3 linked regions of the Drosophila melanogaster genome follow. The protein of the gene in region 2 interacts with the protein of the main gene of each other region in a pairwise test. Each region holds a gene or a part of one and is shown on either strand. Other genes may lie near its edges.

The links.
Region 1: the proteins of CG7272 (region 2) and CG14332 interact in a two-hybrid assay, tested with the Drosophila melanogaster proteins (one large-scale study listed by BioGRID).
Region 3: the proteins of CG7272 (region 2) and Catsup interact in a two-hybrid assay, tested with the Drosophila melanogaster proteins (one large-scale study listed by BioGRID).

What each region holds. Positions count from the first base shown.
Region 1 is NT_033777.3:17,421,105-17,423,824, forward strand, and holds CG14332 (uncharacterized protein), read right to left. Parts: upstream 1,099-2,720; 5' UTR 1,073-1,098; coding exon 698-1,072; 3' UTR 586-697; downstream 1-585.
Region 2 is NT_037436.4:15,499,132-15,502,891, reverse strand, and holds the start of CG7272 (uncharacterized protein), read right to left. Parts: upstream 1,955-3,760; 5' UTR 1,802-1,954; coding exon 1,632-1,801; intron 56-1,631; coding exon 1-55. Other genes in the region: CG7275 (uncharacterized protein), read right to left, coding at 2,384-2,939, 2,996-3,710.
Region 3 is NT_033779.5:19,040,261-19,044,020, reverse strand, and holds Catsup (catecholamines up), read right to left. Parts: upstream 2,160-3,760; 5' UTR 2,076-2,159; coding exon 1,697-2,075; intron 1,642-1,696; coding exon 671-1,641; 3' UTR 407-670; downstream 1-406. Other genes in the region: Ttc19 (tetratricopeptide repeat domain 19), read left to right, coding at 1-85, 138-401; mib2 (mind bomb 2), read right to left, coding at 2,899-3,760.

The sequences.
Region 1 (2,720 bases), on a different chromosome or scaffold from region 2:
GGATATACTCATAATTAAAGTAAGCTTTTTTTTTTTTAATTTTTGAATGTCAGTAAAAACATACAGATTTATTACAAAAAAAAAAAATGTAAAGCAGTTAGAATCGTAGGATGTATAAAATAAAAAATTTATTTAAAAAAAAACATGTATGATTAAAGAGTTATGCACGAAATAAGATGTACTAAAACCTACATATGTATATATATGTGCTTTATGTGCTTATGCGCTTTAGTTTATTGTTTATTTTAGCACTCTGGCTTATTTTAATGATTCAAGAATCAGCGTCTTAACATAGCCGAATATCAACAAATTGGTAACTTTAAATGGTTTGAAAATCGAATTCATATTCCCAGCTTAAATGGCTACTCGCTTTGGGCAACTATTCAAGAAATGTTTAAATCATGAAGTGCAGCCAATTGAGTGCGTAACTTGTCGCTAAAGCTGAAATTGGCGTATTAACCAGTTCATTAAAGGTGACATTGTTGCTAAGGATTAAGTACTAGGTAATGCCTATGAAATGAATATTCCCCAATGCTCAATCTTATCCCTGCCATTGTAAAATAATCTTAATCAAGTTTCGTTTTTATGTAACATTTGTTATTATTTGCGATAGAAAAAGGTTTGAGAGTAGAATAAGAATGTGACAATAAGGATGTAGATCTAGGTTTGGTCATTTGCTGATGATAAGTTCTGTTTCTTAATAAGGCTTTTGGCTGCGTTGGCGATTCTGGTAGGAATTTCCATGGGCAGATCCACCTACATTTGGACGTCCATGAGCTCCAGCAGACGGACTACGCGGAGCTCCACCACGAGGACGAGATCCGGTCACTCCAACTACGGGCACTCGACGGGATCCTCCAACAGGACCAGAGAGGGATCCATATCCAGAGATGGGTCGTTGGGTCTGAGGGGCAGCGGAGTAGCCACGGGTTATTCCGGCAGCTGGAGCTCTAGATGAAATAGCTCCAGACTGATGCACTCCCACCCCGGATTCCTGATTCACCGACGACAAATACGATCCTTGGGCGAGGACAAGCAGGACACTGATCACCAAAATATAATAGAGTGCCATTTTGAAATAGGTCTTTTAATTGTGTGCTTGAATGTAGAGTAGGAAGCAACTGATACTTGGCTTAAAAGGAATTACTCCTTTTATAGCAGATACCTGAGTACTTAAAAAAAACATGAATGCAGTTAAAGGTACATATTATGTTAAAAATTAAATTATATGACAATTTTGATAATGTTGTAATGGAGAAACTGAGGTCAGATTTTATCTGTAATATACTCCAATGATCCAGTTTTGTAATTTCAGTGTTTAGCAGATGATAAATCAGAATGAAAGAGTTCAACAACCACCTGCTATTATTCATATAAAAAATATGAATGAGTAAATATGAATTCAAGTTAGAAGCACATACCTTAGCAAGCGTTGTTATATGTAGCTGAACACAAAATTTCATAGAAAAAACCAGAGATATATACTACATGCGCAGACGCATTTTCAACTCTTAAATCAATTTATGCATAAAACATGACTAGCAAGACATAGAAGGCTCTTTTTCATAAAATTATGGTCTAACTAACATTACTAGCAGCCATGGATTTAATTGGCATATAGAAGGCTTGATTAAGCCGGCCAATTGGTAAGCCAAAAAAGAAACACCCGCGATGATCGCGGTTGCCAGGAAGTAAGGCATTTGCGAAAATAGTTTTGAAAATATAGGCTCAAGTGATGGAGACCCAAAATAATGGTTAACCTTGCCATATATAGCTCAGGGTCCGTTTATTATCCATAACAATGAAAGCAAATTAGGCTTACGATTGTTTAAAAAATTGCAAACCCAATTGAGGTTTGATAGGTGGGCAATAATAATGAAAAAATGGTAAAAATGAAATGTCATGGTGGCAACATTGAATTACGTAAATTACGTAAAATCATTTTGCGATTTCTGAAATTTAGAAAGTAAACACAAGTGTGTGAACCATTTTTGGGTGTATCACTCATATGTGTTCAAGTATGCTTTTAATACCAAATATTTTATAATTACTCGGCATAACATTTTTTAGGTTTGGTTCTTAGCTTTAGGCACGTAATTTGCAACTAATTGAAACTCTACTCTGGTGCAATATGACTCATTCGCACCGTTGTCGCCAGCTGTGCGATCTAGGTGTTAACATTTTTTATTTACCTATTTTTCGTTTGTCAAGCTAACATGCGAGCGTTGTGGTTTCCAGTTACTCGTTTTAATTTTAATTACATTTTTCGTATACAATTAGCTAACAAATCAATGAGAAACCGTTAGACAAAAAGAACAAACACAGAAAAATTGTATATCAACAATTGCTCAATCGATCCGATCAAATAACAAATAACTTTGTGCCGAATATTGACATTTCGTAAGCATTTGAAAAGTGAACGCGACAACAACAAACCTAAATGCAGTGCGTTGGTAAAAATCTTGAACACGTTAAGAATGTTGGCAAGGTTGTCTGCCACGGCAGCTGCTACTTTGTGATTTTGTGGGCCTCCATCTGAGTCTCGATCCTCCGACTGCGTCTCAATCCGAGAGTCCAACTTAATTAAATTGGATTTTATGTGCCGTATTGGATCGGCCATTTGGGGCCCCGGCGACCATGACGAGGTGAGGCTAATCAAATGGCCAAATTGTAGGCGCGTTTACCATGCAGCCACCAGTCAGCTAAAGTAATGAGCTTTT
Region 2 (3,760 bases):
ATTGATCATGGCAGCATCATTCATAATGTTGGCCAGCTTCAAGCTGAGAACGGTCCTAGAAAGTTCAACAATTTGTTAATTAGTTACTTTAATTTAGGACAAAATTTGGTTTTTATATTTAAACAAAAATGTAATACTGTTACCATTCATATTCATTTTAAAATATTCTTCAATATAAGGCTGGAAATTTTATAAATTCCAGTTAACTTGTAGATAAGAGCATAGTTTTCTGAGGATATTATAATTAATTCAAATTAATTGACCCTGCCCGAACCAGTTTTCCAGCAGTAAGTCGCTACAGAAAGTTCGAATCAAGAGAAATGGAACTAGTTTTCATTTAAAGTGCTCCAGTCTACCACTTCATTGAAAAAAAAAACCAGTTTACACTTATTAATTGCGTTATCAGATTCTATACTAGGTGGAGATAGATAAATAAGCATAATAGGGCCGGCGTGCAAATCATGGTACACGTAGCATTTGATAAGGAGCTCAACGCTCAACAAATAATCAGCATTATCATCGATCAACCTATAAACAAACCCACAACAATGGTGAAATACACCCGGGCTGGGCGAAATGAAATGCAAACTGGCCGAGGAACCTGCCCTTGACCGAGACCTCGAGCGCCCATTGGGTGGAGTGGAATTCGTTTAGCATACAACTGTTGCTTCGCTTGCATGTCTGCGGGTCCTTACACTTGACACAGTCCAAGTTAACACCTTCCGGAAAACCACCCCCAAGTAAGCCCCGGCGCAGTGATGGCACACTCACTTGATGGTACTCATTCACTTGCTGCCATATGGCACTTTATGATCTTTTGAGATGTTCAAAACAAACAGTGGAAAGTTTACGATTTAAAAATAAAAAGGTAAATTCCTCGAGAGTTCATCTACATTTAGTGCTTTAGCCAGCAGGAATTTGGAATTGTTTAAAGAAATGTATTATTACGGAAACTATAGTTAAAAAAATATTATGTTTTGCTAAGCAAACACTATTATTCATATGCAGTAATGGACAAGCCTTACGGCTATAATTAGAGAAGATTATATTTATAGATGACAAGATATTCCCATCACCACCACTGGGTGGCCCACCCCCTTTGGAATCTGGGCAGCCCCGCTTTATGCCGAGCACGTGGAGAGGGCGAGTCGCGTATCTTTCGCCCGTCGTATAAACGATTAGCGGCTCTCCCAGATTTGGACAGACTCTACCGGATCAGCATTCGTAATAGAGGAGCTCTAAAATTATACACTCTAGATAAGAGCTACGTGTTTGGAGGGTTCTCGCATCGATAAGGCGGCAAAAGTGCTGCTGGCGGATTTTCGACAAGGTTAACGATTTCGAAATGTAACGGTCGCGGATGATCGAAGTGTAATTCCCATTTGGCCAACGCAGTGATGTAATCGATTCCATTGTTATCTTCTTGAATTGTGTGCAAAACCGATTCACTGGCGGCCTTGAAGAGACTCGATTCTGTGCTGTCATGGCGACAGTTCTAAAATTTAATCAATTCCCACACAGATGCGTTGGCTTTTGTTCTTTTCACTCGCTTTTCCTGCCCCCTGCCCACTAGTTTTTTTTTCGATGTCGCATGCAGTGGAGCATCACGGAATCCCAATTAGGTTACTTACAGCACCACTCCGAAGAGAAATGGGCCCACCGGGTAGACGTCGCTGCTACCCTTCTTGCGGATGTCGTTCATCAGAACCACTCCGGACAGAAATTGCAGGGTAGTTATGGTGCCGGCTACCTTGGCGATTAGTTCGCTGTGTGGCGCCAAGAGATCCCCCAGTGCCTCCATGATTTCAATGACTCTCAGTTGATGCCTTTCAAACGGGTTATGTGGGAACGGGAGGGGGGCCGAGTGCCGCGCGAGTATAAACAAATGAACGAAAACAAAAACTAACGACCGACTGGCGGCTGCCGTAACAACAAACGAACAAATACTGAGCACCAACGGTGGGGCTGGCAACCTTTTATAATCGAGAATCCCCTAGAAATGGACGCGTCTCTCCGATTTTCCCCAAACGTTATCGCCCGCGAGGGCTTATCGGATACGAATTGAATTTCAAATTTCCGCGAAACGTTGCTGCATGGCAAAGCAAATGAGTTTTCTCTCTAGAGCAACAGGAGAGTATTCCTTAGAACTTATCAACATCTTCTTTCTTCTAGTATCACTGAATTAAAGCCAAACAATAGTTTAAACTAAGCAAATTCACTGATAACTTCGGTTTGACTTGACCAAACTGAAAGTCACTTGAGAACAATGATAGAAAGTGAGAAACTCAATTGAGATTAGGCTTCTTAATATATACATACATAGTCTCCTTACAAAAATCAATTTTATTCAAACTTATCCAACTACAGTCGTTAGCAATCATCCTCACACCTCCTCCTTCAGCACATGCTTCTTTTTCTCGCTGACGTAGGGCACCTTCTTGCTCTTCTTGGTGTGCTTGCGCACATTGGCCTCCTTGACCTGCTCCTTCTCCTTGACCGTGCGCATCTTCTTCTGTGCATTGAGCACGTGACGCGGCACCTGGCGATGGCGCGCGATGCGCTTGATCTGCGGATGAGCGGCATACTTTTGCTTCAGCGCCTCCTGGTAATTGAAATTGACGCGCTCACGTGGACGGATGACGCCCAGCTTTTCGGAGGCATTCGCCTTCCACATGCGGACGTTCATTTCGTCGGAGCCGGAGAAAACGTATCGATTATCGAGGGACCAGGCCACGCAGACCACATGCTGCATGCGTTTTGTGTGGTAAATATCCCGCGAGTGACTGTGGTGGGCATTGTAGATCCGAATGGTCTTGTCGTAGCTGGCCGAGACGAATTCCTTGCCAGTGGGCGAGTAGTCAACATCGGTGACAGCGGAAACATGGTCAAAGTGAACCTTCAGCGGCGTTTGCAGCTTGCGAGTGTCAAAGGTATAAAGGCTGTAAGAAATAAAGATTTTAGCAACACATCCTCTTCGTATGGCCGTTTTACTCACTTGCAATCCTCGTTGGCCACTGTGAAGTTGAACGCCTCCATGGGATTCCACGCGAGCTTGTTGCTCTTCATGGTTAGGACGACCTTCCTTAGTGGCTGCGCCTCTCTCTGATCGTACAGGATAATGCTGCGATCGCTGGCACAGCACGCCAGGATGCTTGTTTCCACGGGGTTATAGGATATGGTGTGAAGGGTATCGACGCCCCACTTCAATGTCTTCAAAGGATCGTTGTGCCTTTCGTCCCAAATGGCGCATACCTCGCCACAGGTGGCGAACTTGTTATCCCTGCGATTGTGCGAGATGCCGTGCAGTCCAAATTTACTCAGTATAGTGTTCACCGGCACCTCATCCTCGCCGACTTCCGGAGCCTCTGCTTTCCAAACCTTGATGGTTTTATCATCTCCCACGGTGAAAATGCGACCTCCGTTCTGGGTGTAAGCAATGCCGCGAACGAAACCGTCGTGGGCCACAAAGTTCCGAGAGCTGATACGATTCGCCAAGTCCCAAATGCGCACTTCGCCGTCATAGGCGCCGGTGGCCAAGGTGGAAAGTTGCTTGGGATGCTTTCCGAAGCAGGAGACTCCATCGCGATGCCCGCTCAAATTGCAGACGAAGGGTTTGGCAAATACTCGATCCAACTTGGTGGCATTCAGGGCACGCACGTATTCCCTGGGACCCTCCAAAGGATGCAGCGAAGGATCGTAGTTCCTGGGCACTGAAAGTGGCATTCTTATAATACTTTGGTCTTTCTTCGTATATGAACTT
Region 3 (3,760 bases), on a different chromosome or scaffold from region 2:
CTTCGACACGCTCATAAATGTTTATGGTGCCGTTAACGACGCCTCTGTAACCATCCTAAATAACATCAGTGTGGCGTACGTAAACGTAGGTGCGTCTATTCTTCCAAAGTACTTGAAACACATTAGACTAATTACAGCTGGAAAAGTACGCCGAGGCAAGGGAGACCCTTTTGGAGGCCATGGAGCTGACTAAGGAGCTAAAGGATGCCACCCAGGAAGGCATTCTGCAGGCAAATCTGGGTTTGGTGTATCTTCGCGAGGGCCTGATGTCGCAGGCGGAGAACGCTTGCCGACTGGCGTGGAAACTGGGAAAGCAACACCAGAATCCCGATGCCGTAGAGCAGGCCGAGTATTGTCTCAACGAGATAAAGACAACCCTGAATGGAGAGAAGCGCCAGTGAGGATTCTTTTTACAGTGTAATTTTGACTATTTATAAAAATTTCATTTCGAAGTGAAGCACAAATTTGGAAGGCTTAAAAAATCTTAAATAACGCCGCATTGTTTATATTGGGAACTAATAGCGGTTACTGACTGTTGAAATATAAGAAATTTAAGTAGTTGCTCATCGTTTTGAGTAGGTAACGAACAGAAATCTTTCAAATTGTTTGCGGCACACTTTCAGTACATGCAATTAGATCTTTTTTGTGTTAACTTTCCACAATTTTGATATTACTCGAACTTGGCGATAACGATCATTAGGGCTACGCCGGTTAGCAGCGCAAAGATTTCCTTCAGCGACTGTTTCAGTTTCGTAGACTCCTCAAGCAGCTCCGGCAGGACACTCACTGTTGCGATGTAAATAAAACCGCCGGCTGTGAAGGGCAAGACCCATGGGGCCGATCCGTCCCCGCCTCCAGCTCCCAGAAGAGCTAGCGCTGTGCCCGCCAAAGCTCCGAGCGCTGTGACGAGCTGCAGAAGCATTGCCTTTCGCCTGGAACAGCCAGACTTTATAAGAATGGCAAAGTCACCAATCTCATGGGGCACTTCGTGCAGCAGAATAGTGATAGTGGTCACAATGCCAATGCTGTTGCCCGCCAAATAGGAGGCGCCGATGGCCAGGCCATCGGTGAAGTTGTGAGCAAAGTCCGCCGCCAAATTCAAGTAGCCGGAAATCTCCACTTCGCCTTCTGGCTCCGCTTCTGGTTTCTTGGACTTGATCTTGGCTGGCTTTGCCGGTTTGTCTCCATCTCCGCTGTCTTCTTTGTCAGAGGACTTTTTCTTAGCAGGCACTGGTTTTGGCTTTGGTGCTCCATGGCTGTGGCCGTGTCCTCCATGACCGCCCTTTAGAATGCGTACCAGTTTCTCCACTGAAAGGAAGGCAATGATTCCTCCAAGGACCCACAGACCAATGCTCATATCGTGGCTGTGACCATGTTCATGCTCCTCGCCATCATGATGATGATGGTGATCATGGCCGTGATCGTGGCCGTGTTCTCCATGACTGTGTGGATGCGTGGCATGAGGAATCAAGTGCAGAAAGGCATCACCCAACAAACCGCCAGAAGCAAAGGCCAGAAGCACTTTGAGACGCGGCTTCATCGCCTCACTGTTGTCTAGGGGAATGATATACAGCAGCACGAAGGGAGCGGCACTGATAAGAAGAGTTGAGCCGATCGAGTGCAACCAAATGGTGCTCATATCTATAAGAAATTTGGGTCAACTCGGGCATTTTAAGAGTGGTAGTTCGTTGATTACCCAAATCCGGCTTTGCCTTGGTGTGCCTTTCATCGTGCCCGTGATGATGGTGTCCGTGGTCGTGGTCATGATCATGATCGTGCCCGTGATGATGGTGTCCATGATCATGCCCGTGGTCGTGGTCATGATCATGATCGTGCCCGTGGTGGTGGTGTCCATGATCGTGGTCATGATCATGATGATGATGGTGCTCCGCCCGTGGAGCCTTCTGCGGATCGAAGTTTTCGTTGGCTTCCCGCGAGTATTTGAAACTGGGATTGCCCTGGCCGGCGCACAACGCCGGGAGCGAGAAAAGCACTGCTCCCAGGATTACGACCAGTGCCAGCTTTTGGTACAACTGGAGCTTACTGCACTGGTAATCAGCCACTTGTTTGGCCATTTTGTCCTTTACTTTAGTTTCGCGTCGGACTGCGGCCAAAGTGTTGTGACGTGTTTGCTTTTTTTCTGGCTACGTTGTTATCGATTAGCGTGTAAATCTGGAGGTATCGATTGTTTCGCTCAAATAAAAAATAAACTTGTGTATATTTTCAATTATAAGTTGTACTTTGCCGCTTTTGCTTACATTAACTTTTAAACGGAGCTTAAGATCCGACAGCTTGCCAAGTCAATGCTTACAAAAATGCAAAACATTTAAAATTTATGCAGCGTACTGAAAGAAAATAACTTGTTCACACTTTGCCGTTACAACATTTCAGTTTTAAAATCTTTCTAAACTTATTATATATTCAATTTTAAACTAAACCTTTTAAATACCAATACAATTAAAAGTCACCCCAGCATATTCAGAAATAAAGTATCTTTATTTTCTGTAGGCTAACCACCGACATCGATTGAAATTCACTCAATTAAATAATTTTATATTTGTATATTTGCATTTAAATGACTATTAAATATTTGTATGCTTTAGTTAGTTTCCTATGTATTTATCGTTACCAGACATGGTTAAACGGGGCTAATAACTAGACACGAGAAGGTGCACATTAATTTGTTGCGTGTTGCGACGATGCCGATGATGAACCGATTAAAAAAGAACTCGTAAATTTCGTTTGTGATCAATAAATAATAATTTCGATTTGCACATGACACGGCAATGTGAGTGTGTGTTTGTTTTGTGTATGTATATATACAAGCCACTTTGGTTGCTGTTTGAATTGCTGCTGATCCTGCCGCCTTTGCTTTTCTTTCGTTTCCGTTACCGCCGTTCAGTACAGGTTGATCTTCTTGAGTATTGTCTTGCGACACATGTGGCATGTGCGGAGCGTTTCGGCACAATGGGAGCACGCGCCGTGCCCGCACAGGAAGGCCACATCCCTTTTTCGCTCCATGCAAATACCGCAGAAGTGCGACTCCTCAAACTCCAGCACTTTGTTCTCCAGATAGCGAAGTAGATCCCCGGACGGTAGGCGAGTGGGGTCACTAGGTGACGACGTGGACGTGGGCAGGGCCACCACTCGGCCGCTGACCGTCAATCGCCGCTCGATCGCCACGGCACAGCGGAGACACTTTTTCATTCGGATGCCGCACTCCTCGCAGGCGATCTGATGCTGACACGGCTCAAAGCGCACCATCGGCAGGATCTCATTGCACACAATGCACTCATGGGGACCGGGGACGATCACCGGACTGGTACTGGGTCCCGCCGCTCCGGCTTCCAACGCGGTACTGCTCGAGCTAGTGGTAACCGGAGGCTTGGGCGCCTTCTTGCGCGGTGCCACCTGTGGAGAGACGTTTTGCGGTGTTGCGTCGGAGTTCAGTTTCTTTACGCCCGGCGAGGCGGAGGGCGTGGATGGAGATGCTCCAACTCCAATGGCTGGGATATCGTTTGGCTTTGGCATTAGTTCAAATGTCTGGCGCTGCGGTGGTGGGGGTGCTGCAACGCTTCCAGGTCCGGCTCCATTGGATTCAGCTCCAGCAGACGCAGAGCTCTCCTCACCGTCGGCTGATCCTGCGGACACTTCCAAAGCTTGAAGATTCCTAGGCAGCGATTCAGCTTCGCCCTGCTGCCCAAAAATCAGTTGCCTGATGTGGCGGTCCGTTATCCACTCAAAAATGCTTGCATTGGCG